3 linked regions of the Tamandua tetradactyla genome follow. The protein of the gene in region 1 interacts with the protein of each later gene in a pairwise test. Links are inferred from orthologs where the notes say so. Each region holds a gene or a part of one and is shown on either strand. Other genes may lie near its edges. The genes, in order: ALAS1, TMSB10 and ZMAT1.

The links.
Region 2: the proteins of ALAS1 (region 1) and TMSB10 interact in binary tests that used the Homo sapiens proteins (3 or more experiments, as listed by UniProt). The two-hybrid records come from large-scale screens. The link is inferred for Tamandua tetradactyla from reciprocal best matches to the Homo sapiens genes ALAS1 and TMSB10.
Region 3: the proteins of ALAS1 (region 1) and ZMAT1 interact in a two-hybrid assay, tested with the Homo sapiens proteins (2 studies listed by BioGRID). The two-hybrid records come from large-scale screens. The link is inferred for Tamandua tetradactyla from reciprocal best matches to the Homo sapiens genes ALAS1 and ZMAT1.

What each region holds. Positions count from the first base shown.
Region 1 is NC_135341.1:33,667,070-33,675,422, forward strand, and holds the start of ALAS1 (5-aminolevulinate synthase, non-specific, mitochondrial), read right to left. Parts: upstream 5,679-8,353; 5' UTR 5,566-5,678; intron 4,590-5,565; exon of another isoform or gene 4,579-4,589; 5' UTR 4,558-4,578; coding exon 4,359-4,557; intron 1,876-4,358; coding exon 1,648-1,875; intron 837-1,647; coding exon 687-836; intron 307-686; coding exon 84-306; intron 1-83.
Region 2 is NC_135343.1:59,133,156-59,140,171, reverse strand, and holds TMSB10 (thymosin beta-10), read right to left. Parts: upstream 3,558-7,016; 5' UTR 3,462-3,557; exon of another isoform or gene 3,455-3,461; intron 3,246-3,454; 5' UTR 3,231-3,245; coding exon 3,131-3,230; intron 2,892-3,130; coding exon 2,857-2,891; 3' UTR 2,596-2,856; downstream 1-2,595. UniProt on the Homo sapiens protein: Plays an important role in the organization of the cytoskeleton. Binds to and sequesters actin monomers (G actin) and therefore inhibits actin polymerization.
Region 3 is NC_135353.1:71,473,638-71,481,990, reverse strand, and holds the start of ZMAT1 (zinc finger matrin-type protein 1), read right to left. Parts: upstream 5,482-8,353; 5' UTR 5,438-5,481; coding exon 5,158-5,437; intron 1-5,157.

The sequences.
Region 1 (8,353 bases):
CTATAAAAGAGTCAATCCCTATAAAACACTGATGTTTGTGCCAAATAATGCCAGTGGTGTCAGAAAGCTGGAGAGCTACTTACATGACTGCCCCACACACCCGTGGGTGGCGACTCATTCCTAGGTAGTCATTGCTACACCAAACCGACACCTGCTTTTTGGTGACAAGGGAGTCAGAGTAGTCATCCGCCATGGGGAAAATGTGTGCCCTCCGGTTCACAGTTTTAAAAACTCGGTAAGTATGGTCATTTTTTTTCTCATCAATTTTCTTCTCAAAGAAACGATCATACTGAAAAGTGGAAACAGCTGAAAATCAAACAAAAGACAAAACAGCCCAATGGTTAACACATTTGGGCTTCAGTGAAAGATAAGGTTGATATCCCAGCTTGGCTAGTGAGTAGCAAGGAAATTCTAGGCAAATTACTCTATGATCTCCACTTGTGAAGAGTAGCTGAACCTGTGCAGGAAAGTGTTTAGCACAGCACCTGGGGTGTGGATATTAGGTGAGAAAAGAGAAAAAGCTATAAACAGGATTTGTAGTCATTACGACCAAGAGCACCTACTCACATCAAACAAGAGACATGGCTTTCACTCCTCAACCCATCATGCAATTCTATGTTTTAATCTGATCTACATTTTAAACCACAAACTCTCTCCTGCATTAGACAATTAACAATGAGACTTACATTTTGGCAAGTTATCTTGAAGAAGATGGGACACTCTCTCCGGTCTTTGCTTTCGCATGATATCCTGAAAATTCTGCAGCAATCCACTTGGTTCCCCTCCCTCAGTTTTCATGGTAATCACACTGGGGTTGACAGAGGTTTGGGCAACTTCTTTAACAAAAGCAACAAGAGGCAAATGAGACCAACATTATACAGTGAGTTCATAATACTTTCCAAACGTTGTTACAAAATAACTTCCTGTCTAGGTCACAAAAAAGTCGATTAAAACCAAAGTTAATTGTAACTAAGTGTATAAAACTTCTCTTCTATTTTCATTATTGTAATGGCCCATGTTTGGTGCCGTTTTGTTTTCAGAGCTGCCAGCCAGGTTTAATGAACATTAAAGTCCAAAGCTTTCTTGTCAGTCAGCATGCATTCTTCACCCCACTCTGTCCCTGAAACCCTAATCTCAATTTTCTTCACCGAAAATATAAGTTTGGCCATATGCATAGTTTCTACTGATGAAGCTTTTTGGGGGCCTTAGGGGCTCTGTGGGACACAGCCACAACTGGAATTAAGGTTGCCATTCAATGACCATGAGTAAGACACACAGCTTGGGCATCCAAAGATCAGCACTTAATGCAGTAACACAACTGCTTTTTTTTTTTTTTTTTTTTACCTTTTATCCCATCAGATGATGGGAAAGAAACAAAGGGCAATTAACAGCAGTTCTCAACTACAGAGTATTTCAGAAATTAAATGGCTACTTTAAAAGCTGGTCACCTCCTACACACCAGAAAGAAAGTCCCACATTTTGCAACACAGTCTGACTGTCCATTTTGAGGACCTTTCTCCTTGGCTTTAAAAGAGGAAGGTGTTTACACAAACATTGCCTAATAACAGCTAATATACAAACCTGAGGGTCCAAAGAGCTAAACGGACTTCTTCATTTTTCCTAATGGTTCGTTTCTTATCTGTTTACCTTTTCTCACGGCATGCATTTCCTGCACATCCTCTTGAAGCTCTAAACTGGCTTTGCGGAAGACACTGCTGCTCCGCTGACTCATCTGGGCTGCCAGGAAAGGGCATTTGCTTGCAGTACCCTGGCTTGTGGCAGAGGAAGGATGTCCAGATAGAAGCTGTGTCCCATGTGGAGTCTGCTGGGATCCATCAGGAGCCTGCTGAACCTCAGCTTTGGCAGTTTTGTCCTCTGAGTGGGGAACAAGAAAAAGTGAACCATCAGTTCTGGTTGCACAGCACACAAAAAACCACTTGCTTCTCTTATAGCTTTAAAGATAAAGTTTATACTTACTCTACCCCAATCCAAGTACAAGTTTATTTTTATTAGGTTCTGTTAATCAAATTATTTTCTCATCTGCCTCAATGGAAACAATGCTCTTATGAAGAGTTAAGTGGTACATTTCAGCTACCTTTCAAATCTACAGTATTTCTCACTTATAAATCCAAAAAGTAACATTTTCTAGTTCTAGACAACCCAAAGTTCTTGAATTGAAGAATTCCAGTAAATTCATAGCATATTTCATGAGAAACATAAGTGGACAAACTCTCCAAGGTAACTGGTAATATTCATGCAAACTTATCTCTGCTAATATTTTCTAAAGATTCTTGACAAAGAAGCCTAACGTTGCTTAACATGTAAACTAATGTTATTCTTCTAAATGAAACTACAACTAAATTCTTTAGATTGCTGTCTAATAGACAACAATTAAATTATTAGTATACTTGGGAAAAAAACAATGGAAGAATCACATTTACACACCTCATCTACTTTTTCATCTAATGCATCAAAGAAGTCCACTGACTTAACAGTCAGCTGGTAACTATGCTTCTAGTCACGACTTCCTTGTCCCTTTGAGCAAATTAGTTCACTTTCTAGAAAAGTATTTCATCATCAATTCTGGAATAGTCCTGTGAATCCGAGGCTAGCCTTTCCTACAACTTGGGAAAGGTATCTCAGTATGGTATTCATTAAAATCTTCTATAAAGGAAAGCCAAAAAAAAAATTACTTTGAAGTTCCCTTCCCCCCATTATAAACATAATACATATTATAGAAAGACTAAAGAAGAGTCTTATCATTTAAACATAATCAAAACAAACATTTTAGTATATCATGTTTTTAAAAATATATGTACGGATTTTAAAGACAGTTTTTACTTGTACTTTATATACTTATTCCACCCTTTTCATTATATAGACCTGCCTAAGCTAGTAAATAGTTTGTGAATATCATTTATGTTGGTTGCATAGTAGTCTTTCAATAGAACAAGCCACATTTTACTCAATTAGTCCTCTCCACTACTAGGGACAGAATGGTAAGAGGATTTTGATTGTTCGGTAAAAAAGACATAACTCCTGAGCGATAGTACAGAGGGAAATAAATCCTACAACTATTACCTTTCTACTTAAAGGAAAAAAATAATTCTCACAAGTCCACACCCAGAGAACACACCTAAGAGAAGCCTGTAAAGTAAGATATTCTTGAGGATTAAGTGAAATCTGAAAAGCCTCAATCCCCTCCTGGTAGAGCCAGACTGATCTCTTTATTTTTTTATATTTATTGAGAAATTTTCACACACATACAGTCCAAACATGGTGTACAATCCATGGCTCACAATATCATCTCATAGTTGTGTATTCATCACTATGATCACTTTTAGAACACTTGCATCACTCCAGAAAAAGAAATACAGTCCATACCCCTTACCCCTTACCCCTCCCTCTCATTGACCACTAGGTATTTCAATCTACCCAATTTTTTACCCTTATCTGCCCTCATATTTTTAATTTTTATCCACATTTTTTTATTCATCTCCCCATATCCTGAATAAAAGGCACATCACACACAAGAATTTCACAATCACATTGCAAAAGCTGTACCATTATACAATTTTTTTCAAGGATCAAGATTACTGGAACACAGCTCAACAATTTCAGGTACTTCCCTCCAGCCACTCCAATACACCATAAACTAAAAAGGGATATTTACATATTGCGTAAGAATAACCTCCAGGATAACCTCTTGACTCTGAAATCTCTCAGCCACTGAGACTTTATTTTGTCTCATTTCTCTCTTCCCCCTTTTGGTCAAGAAGGCTTTCTCAATCCCATGATGCCGGGGCCCAGCTCATCCCAGGAGTCCTGTTCCACACTCCCAGGGAGCTTTATACTCCTGGGAGTCATATCCCACGAGGGATGAGAGCAGTGAGTTCACCTGCTGAGTTGGCTTAGCGAGAGAGGCCACATCTGACCAACATAAGAGGTTCTCTGGGGGTGACTCTTAGGTATAACTATAAATAGGTTCAGCTTCTCCATGCAAGACAGACTGATCTTTTTATTAAAACAAAACAAAAAAAAATTATATACAAAATAAAGATAGATATCATTTTAAATATTACTGAAACTCCAAAAGACACTGAGATAAGTGATTCAGAATTCTGCTAACCTAGAAAGCTGGGCAAAGTTTCACCTTTATAGATGGGAAAGCTAAAAATGACTACCTTGTGAGGTTAGGACGACAATTACAAGAAATAATCCACACAAAGCACTGAGCTTGGACAGTGTAACTCCTCTGTTATTGTGAACCTCACCAACAGTGTGGAATGTAACTGCTTCTAGTCAAGTATGTGTGAAAACACCACCACCCCCAACTCGGCTGCCAAAATGACACTTACTCTTGTTGGCTGGAGGGGTTTCTTCGACCTGCTGGCAGCATACTGTTGAAGTGGACAAAGCCCGAGAGGCTGGCTTAGCTCCAACTTCCATCATCTTAGGGCAGTTTTGGGCATAGAACAACAGAGATTTGCCTGCCTTCTGCAGAAAGGTCTGGGGCACTCGGGACAGAAATGGGCAGCGACGAACAACAGTCTCCATGTCCGAGAGGTACACTGACTCCTGGAGAAAGAATGATGATAAGTGGCATCAACACTTGTTAATAATTAGGCAAATCCCACTGCAAGGTCACTGGGGGTCAGCTCACCTGCAGCTCTTGGCAAGGTACCCTGGGATACTAACAAGTCTGGCTCAAAACTGTCTAAGGATAGCACTGATTGGGACTTATCCATGCGCTGGTGACCACATTCTACCCAGGCCACTAACTTCTGCATTCTCCAGCTCTCTACAAAAGCACCTTCATCGCAACCTAACAAATTGATACTGACAATTAATAACCAAGGGGGTGGGAGGATGCAGGATAAGCAGGAACTGGTTTGGGAACAGAGAAGCTCCTTGAAGGAGATGCCCAGTGCAGAGAAGACACCTTGGCACACACCAAGGTGGAAAACTTTGTCTAGGGAAGGAGCCACTGTAGTCCATCCACGTAAGGGAGGCTCGGCGGAGGCAAGAAGGTATGGATTCTTAAAGATCTCGAAACTTTCCAGGTCCTCACAGCCCTAAATCGGAGGAAGACACCATGGACAACCCTGGGGCTGTGAGGCAAGGATTTTTCCGAGCTCATATTCCTATAGCTTGATGAACAGGGAATTGAATAAAAGGGCGCACAAAGAAGAGTAGGGGTTAGCGGAGACGCGCCGATAGGGCTAACTAGGGAGGGGCAGGAGCTGTAAACCCAGTGTGCTAGGTCTGGCGCTTGGAAGCGGTCCCAGGGGGCTGCGGGCTATTTACCCCGGGTCGTGGGCTTAAGAATAACGGTAGGAGACGGAAGGGGGGTAAGAAATGAATTCTAAAGAAGCCGGTTAAATGGAAATGCCCGAGGGGTCTATTGGGGGAACTGAGGCGGCAGGAGGTCTGGGGGATGAAGGCTGAGCCCGAGGCGGCGGGTGGGGGGATGGGGTTCCAATAGCCGGGGAATCGGAGCCCGGGCCGGCAGGACACTCGGAGGCTGTCCCCGGCCGACCTCGCTCCCAGAAGCCGGGCCTTTACCTGCACGGGTAACTGTGGAGGTGGTTGCTGCGGCGGCGGCGGCGGCGGTGACTGCGGCGGCAGGGACCCAAGCCAAGAAACGCAGCCAAAGATTTGCCCTTGTCAGCGAGAAGCCTCAGGCCGGAGGGCGGTCGCCCTAATATAGAGCGGGAATGACCGCTGCGCATGCGCCTTGGGCGCGGATTCTCTGCGCAGGCGCTCGGCGTGGAGTTTCCGGAGGTAAGAGGCCCGACGCGATGGGCGGGGAGGCTGGTCTTGGAGGCGGTGGCGACAGGGGCTCGGCGGGGGCCGAGGGAGTTGAGGCTTTCCATCCTAGCCTTCCTGGTTGGAATCTGTTTCTCGAACTTCACCTTGCACCCCCTTACCGCTCTCCACTGACTCCCCTGTACTTCAAAACCCTACGTCCCTGTTGTGGGGCATAAAATGCCACGGGCCTGAGGGGAAGTGCCCCTGGAGTCAACTGGGGATTAGAGAACTGTTAAAATGGGTACTTTGGGCATGGAGGGAGGAGGCGCAAAAGGGGGTCCAGTCCAGGGTCTTAAGTAGGATCTGCCCCACCTGGGACTTAATAGCAGGGCTGTGAAAGAAGACTTCCTGAAGGAGGTGGCACTGGAATGGCCAAGGATGGAGTGGTGCTCTGGGCCGGGATGGGGAGGGAGTTGGTACGTGGGTGAAGACTTTGGAGTGAGGAGGAAGGAACAGAAAGAAAGGTCAAGCCGTGGCACTCTCTGGTATGAGATGAAGGGACTTAAGTCATGAGCAGAGAAGGGACAGAAGAAACAAGACTAGATAGAACCCATCCACTCCACAGCTGTAACTCAGTACTTATGGGAAGGGGGCGGGATCACAGGGCCTGACAGAGTTAGAGTTTGACATATATTAGATATGTTACTTTTATGTTCAATTGGGGACTGCCCAAAATCCCTTGCTGACCACCCTGGGCACCAGCTGAGTGGCTCAACACTCCATCTCAGAGTTCAGAGTTGGGCTGTGCCTCCTCCAAGTCTCCCCTAGACCACGCCTGCGGGGGAAGGGCTTGGCAAACCCCCCTCAGGAATGTCAACCTGGTTTCCTTGCTCCATATCTCTTCTGGCGTCAGTTAGGCTGGGTTGGGCTTGTGCCAGGCTCAGAGCTACCCTCCCCCACTCTTGGAAAGGAGCCATCCAGGTTGATCTCTCTCCATCTGGGCACTGATAAGAGGAGTGAAATCCAGAGCTGTGGTAACCAAAGTTAGTCCAGGTACTTCCCAGCTCCTTCACTTAGCCTATAGCTAGCTGTAAGACAGGTGAGGCGAGCCTCCAGCTGCAGAGGAGGCACCTGGGTCCAGAACAGCACTGGGACCAGTCCAGGGGCTTAGAATGAGAGCTTTGGCTTGGGAGTTTAAGGCCCAGCCTGCCCTGTCCTGCTGAGGGGCCCTAGGCTGTGCCCAGTGGCCACAGAGGAGGGAGAGAAAAAACAGTAAAAGTCAGTGCCTGGACTCAAATCCAAGTGCAGATAGAAGTAGGAACAGGTCAAGGATGGCCTTGAGTGCTTTGCCCATATCTGGGCCTCACTTTCCTTGTCTGGGCAATAGAATGATGACTTTGTTATGCCTGCCTCACAGAACTGTTTGGGTGATCAGAGGCAAAGCAGAAGCAGAAAGAACCGGACAGTGGAGCAGGACACATATTCCAAGCCTGGCTCTAAATCTTACATGACTGTAGCCATGGGCAGGCCACAATCTCCCAGAGTCTTGGTTTCCTCATTTGTAAAGCTCTCCCAGTCCTGCCACTTGTGGTTGGCAAGAGGGTTAGGTGAAGTCATGGATTTCAGAGGCTCATTGTTAAACCAACAAGTCTCCAGCCCTCTGGGAGTTTCCTGTTTAATAAAGGGAAAGGTTGGGAAATAAGTCAGCTCACAAAGAAAGTGAAATAGAATGATCTAAACAATTCCAGATGGAGGAGTAGGGTGTTACTCCAACAGGCTCTGAAGGAGGGGTTTCCCGACCACCAAGCAGGCTCCCAGAGGAGAAGCAGGTACTGGTTGGAAGGCTGAGTCTACATGAGACATGGAGTCTAGTGAGCGAAGCCTTGAATGGGGAGGGCCCAGGCCTGGGGTGGGGGTGGGGTGGGGGCAGCATGAGTCAGTCCCAACGGCTGCGCTCCGCTCCGAGGGTGCAGCCAGGATATGGAGCCAGGAGGTAAAAAAGGAAAAGCTGAAAACAAGACAACCACGGGTCTTCCCAGTGTCAGCTCAAAAAACTACTACAAGGGCACAGCTTAAAATGCAGATTATTTTAGCCACCCCTTTTGATTCTATCCCAGAAATCTGTATTTTAACCAGGCCTCCTTCTTGGTGAAGCAAGTGTAGGATGAGCCTGTCGGGGGTCACATTTTGGGGACATGCTACCTGAGTGGTTTCCAGTTTGAGACCTGGAAGGGCAAAGGCTAAAGCCATGAGTTCTAATCTTGGCTCTGCCATCTTATGATTCTGTGATCTTGGCAAATTACACCATGCCCTTAGCCCCAGATTTTGCATCTGTGAAGTAGGAGTTATCCTGTCTGCCTCAATGGAGAGCCTGGGTGGGGCCCTTTCCTTCCTCCCTACCCTTCCCCCTTCTCCGGCCTTCCCTCTTCCCTTCCTCTTTTCTTCCCTCCTTTTTCCCTCTCACCTTGCATTCAGCCTCAGAACTGCAATATAAACCTGCCTTATCACCCTGGCCCTGGGTAGGGGCACCTAGGCCGTTGGAGTCCAGGCAAGGTCAGCCCCTATCCTGGGATGACGCTGGGGCCTGGCCTCTCTGCTCCTT
Region 2 (7,016 bases), on another chromosome or scaffold:
TTATTAAAAGCTCATTTTAGGAATGATATGAGAAAACAAAACTGAAAATTTAAACAAGTTTGAAAAGGAACGCAACATCTTTATCTCGGCTTCAGAGCAAGCGGCAATCATTTTGTGATTGGACTAATACTTGGTTCTTGAATTCTTAGACAACAAAAAAAGGGCATACATTAGTCATTTTGTATACTTCTCCCAATGTGGACGCGGCAGGATAATGGGTAGGAAGGAGTGGGACTGGGATGACTCGATGCTCTCTGACACCGGAGCTAACGTACTGCGGCCGCCTCCATCACGAAGCCTTCTGAGATTCCCTTGCGCGCCGGATCAATCACCCGGAAGGAGGCGGGGTTTCGGCAGGCTGGCCCCTCCGCGCATGCGCAGTTCCTTGGGCGGGGCCCTTCCTGTCTTTGACACTGGGGCTCTGGGCTGGTCGCTTGTGCGCTCCGGAGCGACCCGAGTAGGGTGGGCGGCCGGCGTTCCCGCGTAAACCCGCGGTAGTGAGAGAAGGGTTGTGTGGTAGACACGCCCTTCCGCTGCCGCCTTCCTCCTGTGCCCTGCCCCCCTTCGGCCAGCCTCGAGAGTGGGAAAGCAAGACAGACAGTCGGCAGTCTCCTCATTCTTGTCTTAGATTCGTAGGAAGGGCAGGGCTCTCCTCGGCACCCCAGCACCTCAGATGGCGGATTTCCTGGGGAGGGCCTGAGAACGGCGTGAAAGGAAGCGGGGGCCCGGAAGCAGGGCTCTGTGGCTGCTCTCCCGGACAAGCGCGGGTCGGGGGGCCCCCAGAGGAGATTGCGGGGATACGCGGGAAGACCGGCTGCTATTTGAGCCCCAGACGCAGTCCCGGGCAGGAGGCGGGAGCTGGAAGAGGCGTTGGGCGTGGCGAGCCCAGGCAGGGCCCGAGTGTCCCTGGGGGGGCGCGAGGAGGAGCCCTTCAGTCCTGAGCCCTGCCCTAGTCTCCAGCTCTGCTTCCGCCGTCGCCTGCCCTCCCACACCTCGCCTCCCAGCCCCGTGCTCGCGCCACTCCTGCCGGAGGGCTCCTGGGTCTTCTTCACACACCTCAGACGCCTTCTCAGTTCGAGGCTTTTGCACTAGCCGCTCCTGCGGCCAGCAACCCGCTCCACCCAGTGCTCCCGGGCGCCAAGAGTCCTCTCCTGCATCCTTCGGGTCTTTGCTCAAAGGCCTTTTCTTCCAGGGGTCCTCCCTGACCGCCCGATTCAAAACTGCAATTGCGCTACCTATCCCTCACATACTTGGGCACTGACGCCCTAACCAGCTGTATTTTTCTCCAAGACCTGTTTCACCAGCAGCCATACTCTCATTACTGTTTGAAAGCAGAAGTGATATCTTCCTCTTTTTAAAAATTTAACCTCTCAGGAGGATCTTCTACGACGTGCACCTTGGTGGGGCACTCATGAAATGACCCCGCAGACAGGGGGGTCGTAGCATCCCTCAGAGCGCACGCTTAACCCTCAACCCTGGCTCCTACTCATGGACTCCCTTCACTGCCTGAAGCCTCAGTTTCCCCCATTTGTAAAATGGGGTGAATCACCCTACCTAATTGTGCTGCTGAGTTAAAGTTCCTAGCCTGGCAGCTCTGGGCCCTGGAATGTTAGTGTTCCTCACTCCCCCTCCCCAGACCCAGCCTCTCTCCACAGTGCGGATCTTGCTGTCCAGTCACTTTAGGCAAACCAGCAGTGGCCCCCTCGCCCTATGTTCCCAATTTTGGTCTGCTGTGGTTGTCTCACCCACTGGATTTGTAGTTCCTTGTGGACTGGCTCGAATCGCATTCCTATCACCCACAGTCGCTCCCGGCCATTTAGTGGGCCGGCAACTGCCCTCCTCTCCCCCGTCCTGAAAGGAAACCCCACCCCTGGAGTCACAGGTCTGTTCTTTCTGCCCTTAAGGCCCCCAGGCCGGACCTTCCCTAGGCCCCCTTGGCTGGTCCCTCCCTTTTCCCCTGGGTCTTGGGGACGTAACGGGGAGGGGGAGGGGGAGATTTCTGCTCCGCCCGGCACTCCCACTGTTTTTGCTTAAGGTTTCGAGCTAGGCTTGAGACAAAAAGCGAGCCTGTCCCCAGGGTTCGAATTCTTATTTCTGCGCTGCGGCTTCCCCAGATCCCGTCTTTGTTTTTGTTCTGATGCCACCGCTTCCCAGCTCCAAGAAAAGGCCTGTTGGAGAACTGGTGGCCATTCTAGATAGTCTCCCCCGCCCTTTTTTTCCTAGACTTTAAATGACTTGTCTTCTCCTGGTGTCCATCAGCGCTAGGAGGAACCCGGAGAGAAGCAGTACGACTGTAAAGCTTAGCAGAAACGAATTCTGCTCCTTTGAAAACGCATTTTTCAGTGCGACTTCCAAGAATTAGAGTGAGGTGAAAGTTTATACGGGACGGCATTACCAGCACGAGCTAGGCAGCTAATATCCCGCGAAATCTTCTGGAAATGCAGGTAGAGTCCAAACTGAAGAACTACCACCCCCCAGGGCCCCCCATTCGCGTGCCCCTCCCCCCCTGCGGCAGGAACCTCGACTCCAGCGCCTGGAGTTCTGCTGCAGCCGCGCGCCCCCGGTATGCTCAACGAAGCGATTCGGACTACGCCAGCCACGCCACGAGGTGTCTTTTATTTTCACCAATCACACACATAATTTTCCGTAACATCCCAGGGCAAACCGGAGAATTTGGCAGTCCGATTGGGGGGTCCTCCGAGAGACCCCCCCGGCCGGTGGCGTCGGCGGGGCGTGCCCGGGTTCACAGTGCAGCTTGTCGCTCGCGTCCATCTCGCGTCCAGCTTTGCAGGTGGCTCTTCCGCCACCTCGCCACTGGGGCCTCGGAGATGACGGGGGTGGGGGCTCCTCTCGGCTCTAGGAGATTTCACTCTGCTTCTCCTGCTCGATGGCTGGGGAGAGCCGGAAGCGTGCATGGAGGGGGGATGGGAACACCCGGCACCCTCCATTCCCTCACCACGCCGCTTACAAATCTGGGGTGGGCGAGACACCCATGAGGTTAAGAGAGAAGCTTAGGCCGCTTTGTGGGAGAGGAAGGACACCTGGGCAGGGCGGGGGCCGAGGAAGGGCGGGCCGGGGTGGGGGGGGGGGTACTGCGGGCTCGTGCAGCGGGAGGCGGGCAGACACTCACTCTCTTTGGTCGGCAGGGTGTTCTTCTCCTGCGTCTCCGTCTTCTTCAGTTTGGCCTTATCGAAGCTGGCGATTTCCCCCATGTCCGGCTTGTCTGCCATTTTCTCCAAAAGATCCTGGCGGGCACACCCCGGCGGTTGGCTCGGCGCCTCCAGACGTGGCGCTTCCGCCGGGGCGTTGCCCGAAGCTCCAGGGCCGCGAGCGTGGGCGCATCCCACCCCCACCCCCCACTCCGGGTGCCAGCCAACCCTCTGGGTCCTGTCGGAAGGGGGACGCCCGCCGGGTGACCCGGCCCCACCCGGGTGGAGCCCCTGCCCCCGCGCACCGCTCACCGCAGCACCTAGCTCCAGCCGGGACTCCCGGTGCTACCACTTGCACTGCTGCAGCCGGAGACAAAAGAGTGGCGCCCGCCCCACGCCTTATATAGGCCGCGCGCGCCCCGCCCCGCGCCCGCCGCAGCGGGGGCGGTGCTGGCACCCGAGGGGCGGGGGCGCGTGGGGCTCCCGGGAGGTGGGGCGCGGCCTCCTTTCGCCCGAGGGCCTGAAGGCTGCTGGCGCCCCTCTAGCCAAGGCCCCCGGGCTTCCTTTGGGGGCTGCACCCACCCTTTCCAGGAATCTGCTGCTCACCGCACAAAAAGGGCGTGTGTGTGCGTGTGTGTAGTTGCGAGTGTTCGGGTGTACACGCGCTCTCTGCAGCAATCCCCGCTGGCAGGAGACACCCCACCCCTGTGCCATTCCCCGGGTCCCTGGCCTCTGCTGGTTTACACTCACCAGCTCTCAGAGCCCAAGCCGAGGGTCCCCACAGCAAAGAGGGGGTATACTGATAAATGCCCAGTGCTGTTTTCTCACGTTGGGAGGCTAAATGCCCTCTTGGGGTCGTCCCCCTATCCTGCAGGAACCGGGGTTGTGCCCCGTGAGTGCTTGCCACAAGCATTGTCTGAGGGAAGTGGGCGGAATGCGAAGTATCGAGAGCTCCTGGTGTTCTTTTACTCCCAGGGCTACTAGGAACATTGTGTCAGAGGGTGCTATTTTCCCTCTTGAAGTTAACCCTAAAGATGCTGGAGACCCATATCCCTTTAAACGTTCTTGCTTTTCTTATTAACCACTTGTAGGAATGGTATTTTGCAATTATTAAAATCTTTCTTAGAAAAATTTTTAGCCTGTGCACCATCTTTAAGTTATAAGTTCCAGAAACTAACAACCTATTGGGTGAAGCTGGTCACATTATTTCTTTGTCCTGAACTTTCAGTTTTCAAATAGGAAGGCCTATTACCAAGCTCAGTTAAAGGGGATTCGGTGTAAACATTCTAAATTCTGTACATTCCTTTCCTGATTTTATTTGCTTTTCTCACATATGTCCGCGTTTGTAACAGTGGGAGAAAAGCTTAGGCTTATCAGTTTGGCACAGCCAACTCCTTGTGTGCCTTGGTCAAGTCCTTTCTCCCCATGCAGTTTCTTCATCTGGAGAATAGGGTTGGCGTAAAACCTGAATGAAATGAACAATAGGCATCAAGTGTAAGTTAAGCTAGGCAGCCCTGTCAGAATGTCACACCCCCACTTTGTGTATTGGTCAACTACTGCTACCAAAAAATGCTGTGCAACAAACTACCCCCAAACTCAGTGGCTTAAGGCAATAACCACCTTTTCTTGTCATACATCTGCAGGTCATCTGGTGCTGGCCTGCATTAGACTGGGCTTGGTTCCCAGCTTGTGGTTGGTCCCAGGTCCACTCCACAGTCTCTCATCGCCTTTGGACCAGGGGGTAGCTGGGGCACGTTCCTCTCAGGGTGATGGGAGAACAGCAGGATAGCTTCAGGCCAAGAGGGTAGAAGTTGTTGTTGTGTGTGTAAACACAATTTAGGCTTTGCTAGCTGACATTCTATTGACCAAAGCAGGTGATATAGCCAAGCCCAACATCAAAGGGGTGGAGAAAAATATTGCCTCCATGGTGGGAGGGGGAGGGAAGTGATTATTTCCTGAACAGTGATTCAATTTCACAGCCAGGGTAGGCAAACAACAGTAATAAACAGCCCCAAAGTGGCTTAATGCAAAAAAAGTGTACTTCCCGCTTGTGCATCCACATCTGTGCTGGAATCCTGGAATCCATCTGGCAATTCGGGTACCCAGGACCCTCCTGTCTTTGACTTTGTCCTTTTCTAGGTCCTTGAAGTCCACTCTACCCAGTCAGTGGATGGGGAAAGAGGAGAGGGTGGAGAACTCCTGGGATTTTCTTGGTCCAGGCTTGGACGTGGTTTCCATCTCTTCTGCCCTTGACTTTGGCCAGGACTCAGTCACCTGGTCTAACCTAACTTCAAAGGTGGGTGGGAAATGTAGTCTAGTTGTGTGTCTAGGAGAAAAAAAAGTGGAGATTGGGTGAACTGGGAAGAGACTGCTGTATCCGTTGAAGGATCTGCCAAACTTGAACATGAAAATATCAGGACACCTAGAGACTTTTTGGAGGATTTCATTGGCACTTGATTGCCGTTGGGATGCAGTGTCATGCATTTTTTAGGCATTTCCTTCCTGGCCCTCACCTTTGGCCCCAGGAGGAATATTCAATCTTCCTGAATGTCGAGTGATTTGGGATGGTCCTTCAGTTACACTGAACAATAAACTTATTATTCTTGGGGCAGAAATCTCATGGACTCACGGTGAACTCCAATTCCAGCTTCCCTTTATTTGGAAAACAGAATCGTTCTTTTAAATGCAGTGATGGAGAAACATGTTTCAAATGTAGCAAGTATGCAGGATTCCCACACAGAGGAGCTTTAACTGGTGTTGAAATTATTCCTCATTTTTCCCTCAACACAGCCTGTGGTCCATCTCTCCGAAAGTGGGCAGCCTATTTGGCACTTATTGCTTAAGAATGCCAGTCAAATCTATATGTCCTATGGGTAGAAGTTTAAAACTCCTGCACAGGTCCTTGACCCTCCTCCCATCATCTGTTAATATAGACTTTGCCTTCATCTTTAGGGAATGAAATGAGGCAGAAATGATGCTTCATGACTTAGGAGGGTAGGTCGTAACGGCCATGCAGCTTCTGCCTGGCTTTCTCTTGCAGCATGCCTCCATGCAGGAAAGGGTACATCCGGGTGTTCCAGCCACAGCCTCAGTTGAGATCAGAGCCAGCAGCTAGCATCCACCAGAGTCATGCAAGGGAGCCAGCTTCTGGAGCTTCAAAGTGCCCCACTGTTGCCAAAGGAAGTCAAGAAACTGTCCCTGCCCAAATAGCACACTCATGGACAAAATAAATGTGGTGGTTGTTTTAAGGCACTACGTGTTGGGCATTTTGTCACACAACATCAGATAATGGCAACACTATGTGATGGAAAAATCATAGCCTCGTGGTGCCAGGTCTCAGGTCCTCTGTATCTTACATAACGCTCATATTTATCGGAGGCCCTGTGGCCTGCTTTGAGAGGATGCCGAGAGTGGAGGGGAGCCCGTGAGTCTCGAGTCGCAGACAAATGACTCTGCGTCAGTTGGTAACTGTCATGCCTGTGGTTGTGTTTACTCATGACGTGGGGTGGCATTTCTGTCTGACACCGTCTTGGCCTACTACCGAGAACAGATTGTATACTGCTCGCAGATGGCACAAAGAAGGCTGAGCCACTCAACTCCAGTTACATTTCCATCTTCTCTCTTGAGAAGGATACTCTGGACAATGTAGCGCTAATAAGGGAGGCTCCGTGACTGTCCAGCTGGGTGGGGAGGGCCTCTGGGGGTTTACTGTGGGTCTCTGTCTCTCAGACCTGCCCGATGTGATGCTTTTCATCAGGAACTTGAATGGGGATGTAGACAGAATCTCATCTGTTGGCATTGGGGAGGATACAACTCATAAGCCCCAGAGCAAGCTGAATCCAGTGGAGAAATGGACGAAATGTAATG
Region 3 (8,353 bases), on another chromosome or scaffold:
GAGTATGAACAAAATCACAGTAGTCTGGGAAGAGACAATATAAGAAGGATGGTCTCAAGTCAGTGAAATGCAAATATGAGTACAAACAACTCACATTCAATGGGCCTGGGCATTACTACAATCCTCTATGTCGGTACAAAAATATTCCATTCAGCTTGTAGCAAAATTATGTCTTCAATTACATAAAAAGCAAAGAGGATTCACTTGACAAAAATTCAATTTCTAGCAACTTTTGTTAGAATGGGCCTGCTCCAAACAGCTGTACTATTATGCTAAATTAAAATACAATTAAGTTCTGCATCCAAAAATGCAATTCAGTATGAAAGCCAAATTAGCATATTTGAAACTTTCTCCTAATTAATAGCACTAGATAACACGAGCAAATTAGGATGAATTAGATTTTTGTGGCAAATGGAAAACATTTATGGACTTACTCCGAAAAGAATAATGCATCTGTGCCTACAATTTGGTTGACTCCAGTTTATGGAATCAAAGATTGTACTAGATCTTTGAGGAAAGTAACCAGAAAATTAACACATTTCTTCAGTTTGAGGTAAGAGAAGTTTATCTCTCTGTTTACTCCAATTGAATGTTGTTTGGTTACCCTGATAAGAAGTTCAAGCTTATTCAAATTAGGTGGCTCAACTTTAGATATAACTAGCTACATTTAATAAAATGTATCTTACTTGCATTTGTTAAATGACAATTAAACTTATGTACAAAACCCCAAAATTCCTCAAGACAATCCATCATAAATTCTTTATGGCAAGAACGTATTATTAGCTGTTTTAAATGCCTTCCTAAAGTGGGAATTTCACAGTCCAACTGATTTTGATGCATTGTAAGAAAAACTCTGTATATTTTATTTTAATAAAGGACAAGAGTGGAGATAATCTCAGAAAGGTTAGCTGCAATACAGCAAACAAACATCTCACTCTCTAGTCACAGACTTAGACATTAAGGAATTTGAGTAATTATCATTTCAATTGTGCAAAGAGCATATGTACATGTTCTCCCTGATCACACCTTTAGAGAAAATCTCCCTCAAACATTCTTGGTTAAAAAGAAATTTGGGGGGAGAAAAAGTTGACTCGACCTTTGCAATCTTTTAATACCATCATAATCTTAGGAAAGAATGAGCAGAGCACAGCACTAAATTACAAGAGATTAGGAAACTGCTTCATGCTGATAACCTTGCCAAAGGTTTTAACTCTCTTCTCTAAAAGTCGCAGCCCATTTACAGAGTTTTCTGAGATCTTAATTATGCTAGAAATGCAGATTTGTACCCTTCAGCACTATGAACACATAGCTAAAATGTTAGCTAATGTCTTTACTTTTTCAGGTTATGAGATCAGTACCTGTCCTATATGAGAAGCCTGGCAAGGTTTAGAAATTTTACACTAATACCATTATCAAAAAAATAATGATGGGTTTCCTATGGCATATCAACAACTAAAAAATGCAATGGAATTAATGAAACAACCAATTGGGCATAATAGTTATATGTTTAATATTTGTCTTTATTTAAACTAAGTCCTCCACCTTCATTATCATAAGCATTCTGTGGCTAGTGAGCTCCAGGTATACTTGAAACTTTAGAATTTAAGAATTAAGGCTCTCTGTAAATCCATTAATCTACTGGATCCTCTCACAGCTACTTTGTATCAGAAAGCCGCCAAATACCTGCCATTCCTTCAACATGTTAATAAGTATGAATGGACTGGCAAGGCCAGTTTTAAGGCGGAAAGAATCAAAGTTCCTATCCTAACAGATGTATGATGAATTTAGTAGGGGACATGCTTAGGTTGGGTTTTTTTTTTTTTTTAACAATTTTAGTCAATATTTTCACCTATTGACACTTACTGAAAACAGAGTATGGGAGAGACTAATAAATGATCATTAATCTCTCTCCGGACATCCCCCCACCTGCCAGATGCATACAATTAAAATCAGTTCTAATAGTTTGCTAGTTATTCTTCCCAGATATCAACATGAGATTCACAATATGTTGTGCTTTAATGTGCCTGTAGTATTAAGATGCCATGAGCTGAGAACAGAGTTATAACAGATGGGACATTCTAGATAGTTCAGAAGTTTACCTAGTCTTAACATTTAAAACTGCATTTTCCCCATCTATTTTATAATCTTACTAAGGCTGTGTCTAATTTGTCTGTATATCCTCAGCACTGAGCAAAAGGCTTGGCACATACATATACAGGTGCTCAATAAATTATTCCTGAATAAATGAAAGAAATGCTATTAACTAGGTTTTCTTATGATGGGCTTATTGCCATTGATGTAAAACATTATATAATAATAGGGAAACAAGCGAAAGTATTACTAGGAAATTCCTATGCAAATGGAGGAATGATTACATAAAAAGGCAGAAATGCCCTCCACTGAAAAAGAGAAACCATTTAATAATTTTTTTCCTCAATTATAAGAGGTAAATAAGCAAGAGGATTCTTACTTATTTTTGCTTTGATTTCTACTATGATTACACCAGATGATGATTACTGGGCAAAAATTCATTTTTGAGCCATTAAATAGTTTTGAAAATCGTCACTGAATGAATTACAGTGTTCTACAAAATCTCATGACTTCCCTTACCATGAATTCTGGATGTGTGTGTCTTTTCATGTGGACATTTCTTTAGTTTGCTTTTGTTTTTGAGTTTATTGCTCAAGTTTCTATTTGTAACCTTTGAGAGTTTCTATTCTTTCCTGTTTAACAAATTTTAAACTCTACTGAAGTTTGCTCATTATCAAGCGTAGGTCAGATGACAGATCCTCAGTAGTGTAACCTACAGCTGAAAATGGATCAGCAAATGCTTTTTCAAACAACTTTGCATGATCCTATCAGGAGTGGACTTTCAGTAACTGGAATTTTGACAATTCTGACCCATTTTAGAGCAATCTCTAACTAAGAATTAAAAAAAAGTAAGCAAAATATATTGAGAAATCACCAAGCAACATTTTCCTCTTTTCCTTTATCTACTATCACAGCTACCAACTACTTTACAAATATCCAAACAAAAATATTTTGAGGACTGGCAGTGTTTTGGACAGTGCAATATATAAAACATTTACCATTTATCAAGTGAATAAGTAAGAGAGATTTTGATTTGGACTCAACAGTTAATGAAGGATATTTACCTAAAATGAAATGATATAATTTTTTAGTAAATTATATTTTATGAAGTGCTAGCGAATTGTCTCAACACAAATTTCATTACTCACTGAATGTCAGCCAAGGTTTCTTGAGGTCTGTGAATTAATAATATTCTAGCGCACAGCCATGGAAATGCCATAGAGAGAACTCAGAATTTCTAAGTTATGGTTCATACTCTCAGGTTTGAAATCCACCACCCAGTTTAGCTAGTCCAGTTCCTCTATTTCAAAAATTTCAAACACAAATGCAGGAATCTTGAGATATGTTCAGGTTCACACATTCTAATGGTTACCATATTAGCCACAGAACCTCCGTTTGATGCATTCAACTCCTACTCCAGTGCTCTCCTCATTTTCCCACCTATTGATACTATAGATGGCATTTTTCTGCTACTTTACGAGTTTACAAAGCCTGTAATATTTGCATATATTGAGAGATAATTGCAACCAAACCAGCTGCAGTCAGGAAAAAATGCCATTTTTTTCCCATGAGATACTACTCCTAAACCTCACTATGAAAAGGCCATGAGAACCAACTTGAATTATGGTCTTGACACCTACAGGACTGCTCTGGCATACCTGCTCGTTACAGATCAGCAATATTCCAGATTTCATGGCTTTATCCCAGAGCAATAGTACAAATCCAGATCAGCAATCTGACAGAAGAAACTAGAGTCTTTCAAAGGCTGTCTTCAGTAGGAGAGTTAATAAAACATATTACAGTGTATTTCTAACCTCCATTTTTAGTAAGTGGGATTTATGTATTGTGCCTATTACATTATTGTAAGGGCTTGTTTTTACTGCTTTGCCATTCCTCCAAAGTGAAAGGCATGAAAGCTCATGGAATAACACACAAAGATAAATCTAAGAATGTGAAGAGAAAATTATTTTTATGGATTATTTTAATGAGGTATCCCTCTAAGAAAAAGGAACTTAAATTATTCTACCCCATTCGGGGGTCCATGGTCTGACTTTTTAGGCAAGTAGCAACAAGGTAAAACAGCAAATACTGGAAATTAAGGATGAAATTTACGATGGCAGAATGCTTCCATCACCTAATAAGCATTTCAAAAACTACTTTAAAACACATTTTAGTGGTATAATTTACAACTTGCTATTAGTAGGCTGTTTCCAATTATATAGTACTTTGTGTAAACTAAACACAACCATTGAGATAGTCAATAAATAGCTTTTTTATGTTAGGAGTAATGTGTGGTGGTAGGTAAAACAGCACTTATTAAAACCCACACCACCTTAAAGATGGGCCTGTGAACCTTGCTTTACAAGGACACACTCTCAAACAGCCTAGGAAAACTTTCAGTGATTCCTGAAATGTGTGCTTCTGCCACACTCTTCCTCCTTTCTACATTTGAGCTCTCTCCACCGGACCCTAAGATCCTGAACTTCAAGAGATCTTACTTCAAAGCTCAAGTATACACTTTAACCTCCCCAAATTCCTAACCCCGTATCTCCTTAAAATATCTACTGCAGATCGCTACCCTGCAAGATGTTGAATTTCACCAGGAAGAGGTTTCCTCCCTCCTGTTTCTTCGGCTTTTTTACCTTTCCTCTGTCCTTCCTACATCAGCCCTTTTCCCTTTCCCTGACCCACCACACTTTTACCTTGGCTCCTCTCTTAATCCAAATCACTCCCTCAGCTTCCTTTAACATACTAAGGCGTCGTGACTGAGAGAAATTCTGTGGTATTATTCTCTCCCTTCAACTCCTGTCTTGTGAATACCTGCAGCTCCTTTTCCTGGGGCCCCCATCGTTTGCGGGGGATAGAGGTAAGGAAGCCCCCCTATGCTTCAGTCCATCTTACACACTCGGGGTTTATGGGGCGGGGCGGGGCGAGCTTGGCCTTTACTGCGCCACAGCAGGTGGGGGGTGGGGCAGTGGCAAACCGCGCCCAGCCCAATCTCGGACCAACTGCAAAGAGGCAGCGACGTGGATGGGGCCGCGCCCGCACCCCAGGACGTGAACTCACCTTCTCTGAGGCAAGGGTGGGTGTCTACTTTAAAACTACTGCCCCCCCTCCCCGCCGCCGCCATAGTGGAGCCGCCAAAACCGCTGCCGTCGCCACAGCCACTGGCAGGCGGGCAGGCAGGGGTGGAGGTGGCGGAGGAGGCAGGCACAACTGCTGCCACCGCCGCCGCCGCCGCCGCCGCGGAGGCGGTGTAGGAGGAGGAGGAGGCGGCAGAGACGGTAGCTTCCTGAGGGGAAGACCCTGTCGCCAGCGGGGTGACCGTGTTCGGCGCCGCCGCCATCGCAGCGAGGGCGGACAATTGCACTGGCGCCTCGCTCCGGTTCAGTTCCCTTAGCCCCGCCTTCTATTTAGCCCCGCCCCTTTCGCCCCTTTTTTCTTAGCTCTAGCCTTGGTCTCGCTCCTTCTGTCCACCAATCGGAAAGCTTTAGACACACAAGCCGCCTTCTTCCCCTCCCCCACTCTTGGCGTCACCCTGCGTCCCTTTGGAGGGGAAGCGAAGATGGCCAAGGGCAAAGGGTAAAAAGCGCGGGATGTTAAAGCACGTGGGCCTCATAAAGTGAGGCCTGTTCCCTTGTAGGAGTTAATCTAAAACGAATTTAAGAAAAAATAAAACCTCAAGAAACCTATTGATTCCACCTCCAAAATATTCCTAAAATATTGTTTCCTCTTATAGCTTGGACACATAGCATACAGTTAGGTAGACCCCTAGGTTCATGATACATTGCCATCATTTGTCCATAAAGGATTGCTTATCTATCACTTTACCCATCTATGATACAATAAACACTTCTGAATCCAGTACCCAACAAAACTAGAATGTTACTGATAATTTAAATTTTCTTACCATTGCTGTCCCAGGAAGATCCCAGTATCCTGATTTATGTTTATTTCCTTGCACTTTTTACATGTATACTTACGAGATATGTGTACACCTAAACAATGTTGTTTAGCTTTGTTTTCAAATTTTACAAAAACATCTATCTTTTTCTAGGTAGCATACTGTGACTTGTTTCTTTTGCTCCACCTTTTGTTTCTAAGATTAATGCTTTTTTTGCCATATAGCTGTAGTTCATTCATTGTCAAGGCTCTACAATATCCTGTCCATTTCCTTGTTGATGGACATTTTCCTGGTACACCTGTATAAAAATTTCATTTGGGTATTCTGTCCTTTCTGGTCTCACTTCCATTCTTACTTCAAGTCCTCATCATCTCTTGTCAGAATTATGACATCTGCACCACCAGTCACTCTTTCTCTGGTTTCAATCACTATGATCTATTCCCATGTTGCTGCTGTTCATCACTGTCTCCATTGCTTGTTGGATAAAGTCATTGACACAATTTGGCACTAATAGCATTCCCCCCACTTCCTTAAGCTCATCTCTCTCACTGCTCCCATCTCTTGAGTCTGTTTTTACTTTATGACTCAACACATGAAATTTTCTTAAATTTTCCTCTGAATACCATCTATTTCATGCCTTAATGTTATCGTAAATGTTTCTTCTTCCTACAATTTTCTCCCACATTAGGTACCAGCCTAACGAACTCCTACACACCCTTTGAAGTGCAGGCAGCACCTCTTCAGGGTATCCTGTTATGTCCTTGCTTATTGTTAATCCCACCGTCCTCTGTGCTACAACTATATCTTGTTCATGTTAGTATTGTAATGAATTGTACTTTGTACCTCTCTCCTCAATAACCTAGGGATGTTTTGAGACAAAGCAGAGGTTTCCTTTTGATTGATTCCTCATGCTCCAGCACAGTGCAGCACACCAGTGGTCCCTAAGCTACATCCAGCCCACAAAACAATTATTTACTTTCTTGTCAACTTTAGAAAGGGGCATATGATGCAAAAAAAAAAAAAAACTCTTAAAAAATTCTGAAGATTTTGCATTATGGTCGGAGCTTGCATTTCTGAATGGTAATAATTGGCTGAAGCTGAACAGAAAACTCAGAGGTTTGGAGTGTTGGGCTTTTAAGAACACATGTTTATGTTATTTTTGTAGCTCAGTAATATGCCCAATATTAACTGAGGCAGTTGGTGGTTTCTCTAATCTCCATCTTGTCCTTCTGTAAATTAGTGCAACTTTCACTGATCAAATAAACTACTGGGTGGACCAGGCACAAGAAATGTTCTGCTGAAATAGTCAATAGGGCAAGGTAAGAATAAAAAAGGAATATAATTTTATTCCTTCCTGTATTGGGGGTGCAGGAGAATCCCTCAACAGCATTGTTTCTCAAAATATGAAACATACTCCACTTACATAAAGACTCTTGCAGCAGGATCTCTGGGAGAGTGTGTATCACTCAAGGGTCAGTCAGTAAAAGAGAAAGTGTACTAGGTATTTGTGCCCGTTTGAAAATATTATGTACCCCCAAAAATCCAGGTTTTAATCATGATTCAATCTTGTGGGAGAGTCTTTTCTTTTAATCCTAATTCAATATTGTAGGGCTGAAATTTTTTTTTTTACATGAGCAGGCCGGATCTCCAGCATGGCAGGCGAGAACTCTGCCACTGATTTACCATTGCCCTAGGCAGAAACTTTTGATTAGATTATCTCCATGGAATTGTGACTCACTCAATTGTGAGTGTGATCTTACATTAGGTGGAGATATGCCTCCACCCATTCTAGGTGTATCTTGATTAGTTTACTGGAATCCTTTAAAAGAAGAAACATTTTCAAGAAAGTCAGGAACGACAGAGCAGACAGAAACTTCAGAGCAAAGCTGACACTCAGAGAACAGAGACACGGATGTTTGGAGACGCTTGGAGCCTAGCAGATGTCACCATGAGATGTTAAACAAGCCAGAACCTGTAGAGAGCCAAGGAAAGCCAAGAGGTGAAAGCCAGCCCCATAGAAGCTGAAGGACAACCCCCCACAGGAACTGAGGCTGAAAATAATGGAGCCCAGGAGCAAGGGACCAGCAGATGCCAGCCATCTGATTTCCCAGCTGATAGAGGTGTTCATGACCCATTAACATTCCTTGAATTAAAGTATCTTTCCCCGGATGCCTTAATTTGTACACTTTTCATAGGCTTAGAACTGTTAGGTTGTAACTTATTAATTGCCCCCTTTTAAAAGCCTTTCCAGTTCTGGTATATCTCATTCTGGCAGCTTGCAAACTAACACAGTATTTCAAAGAGAACATATTTAATATAAAGAATCAGATACTTTAAAAAATTGGAGTGGCTAGAGTA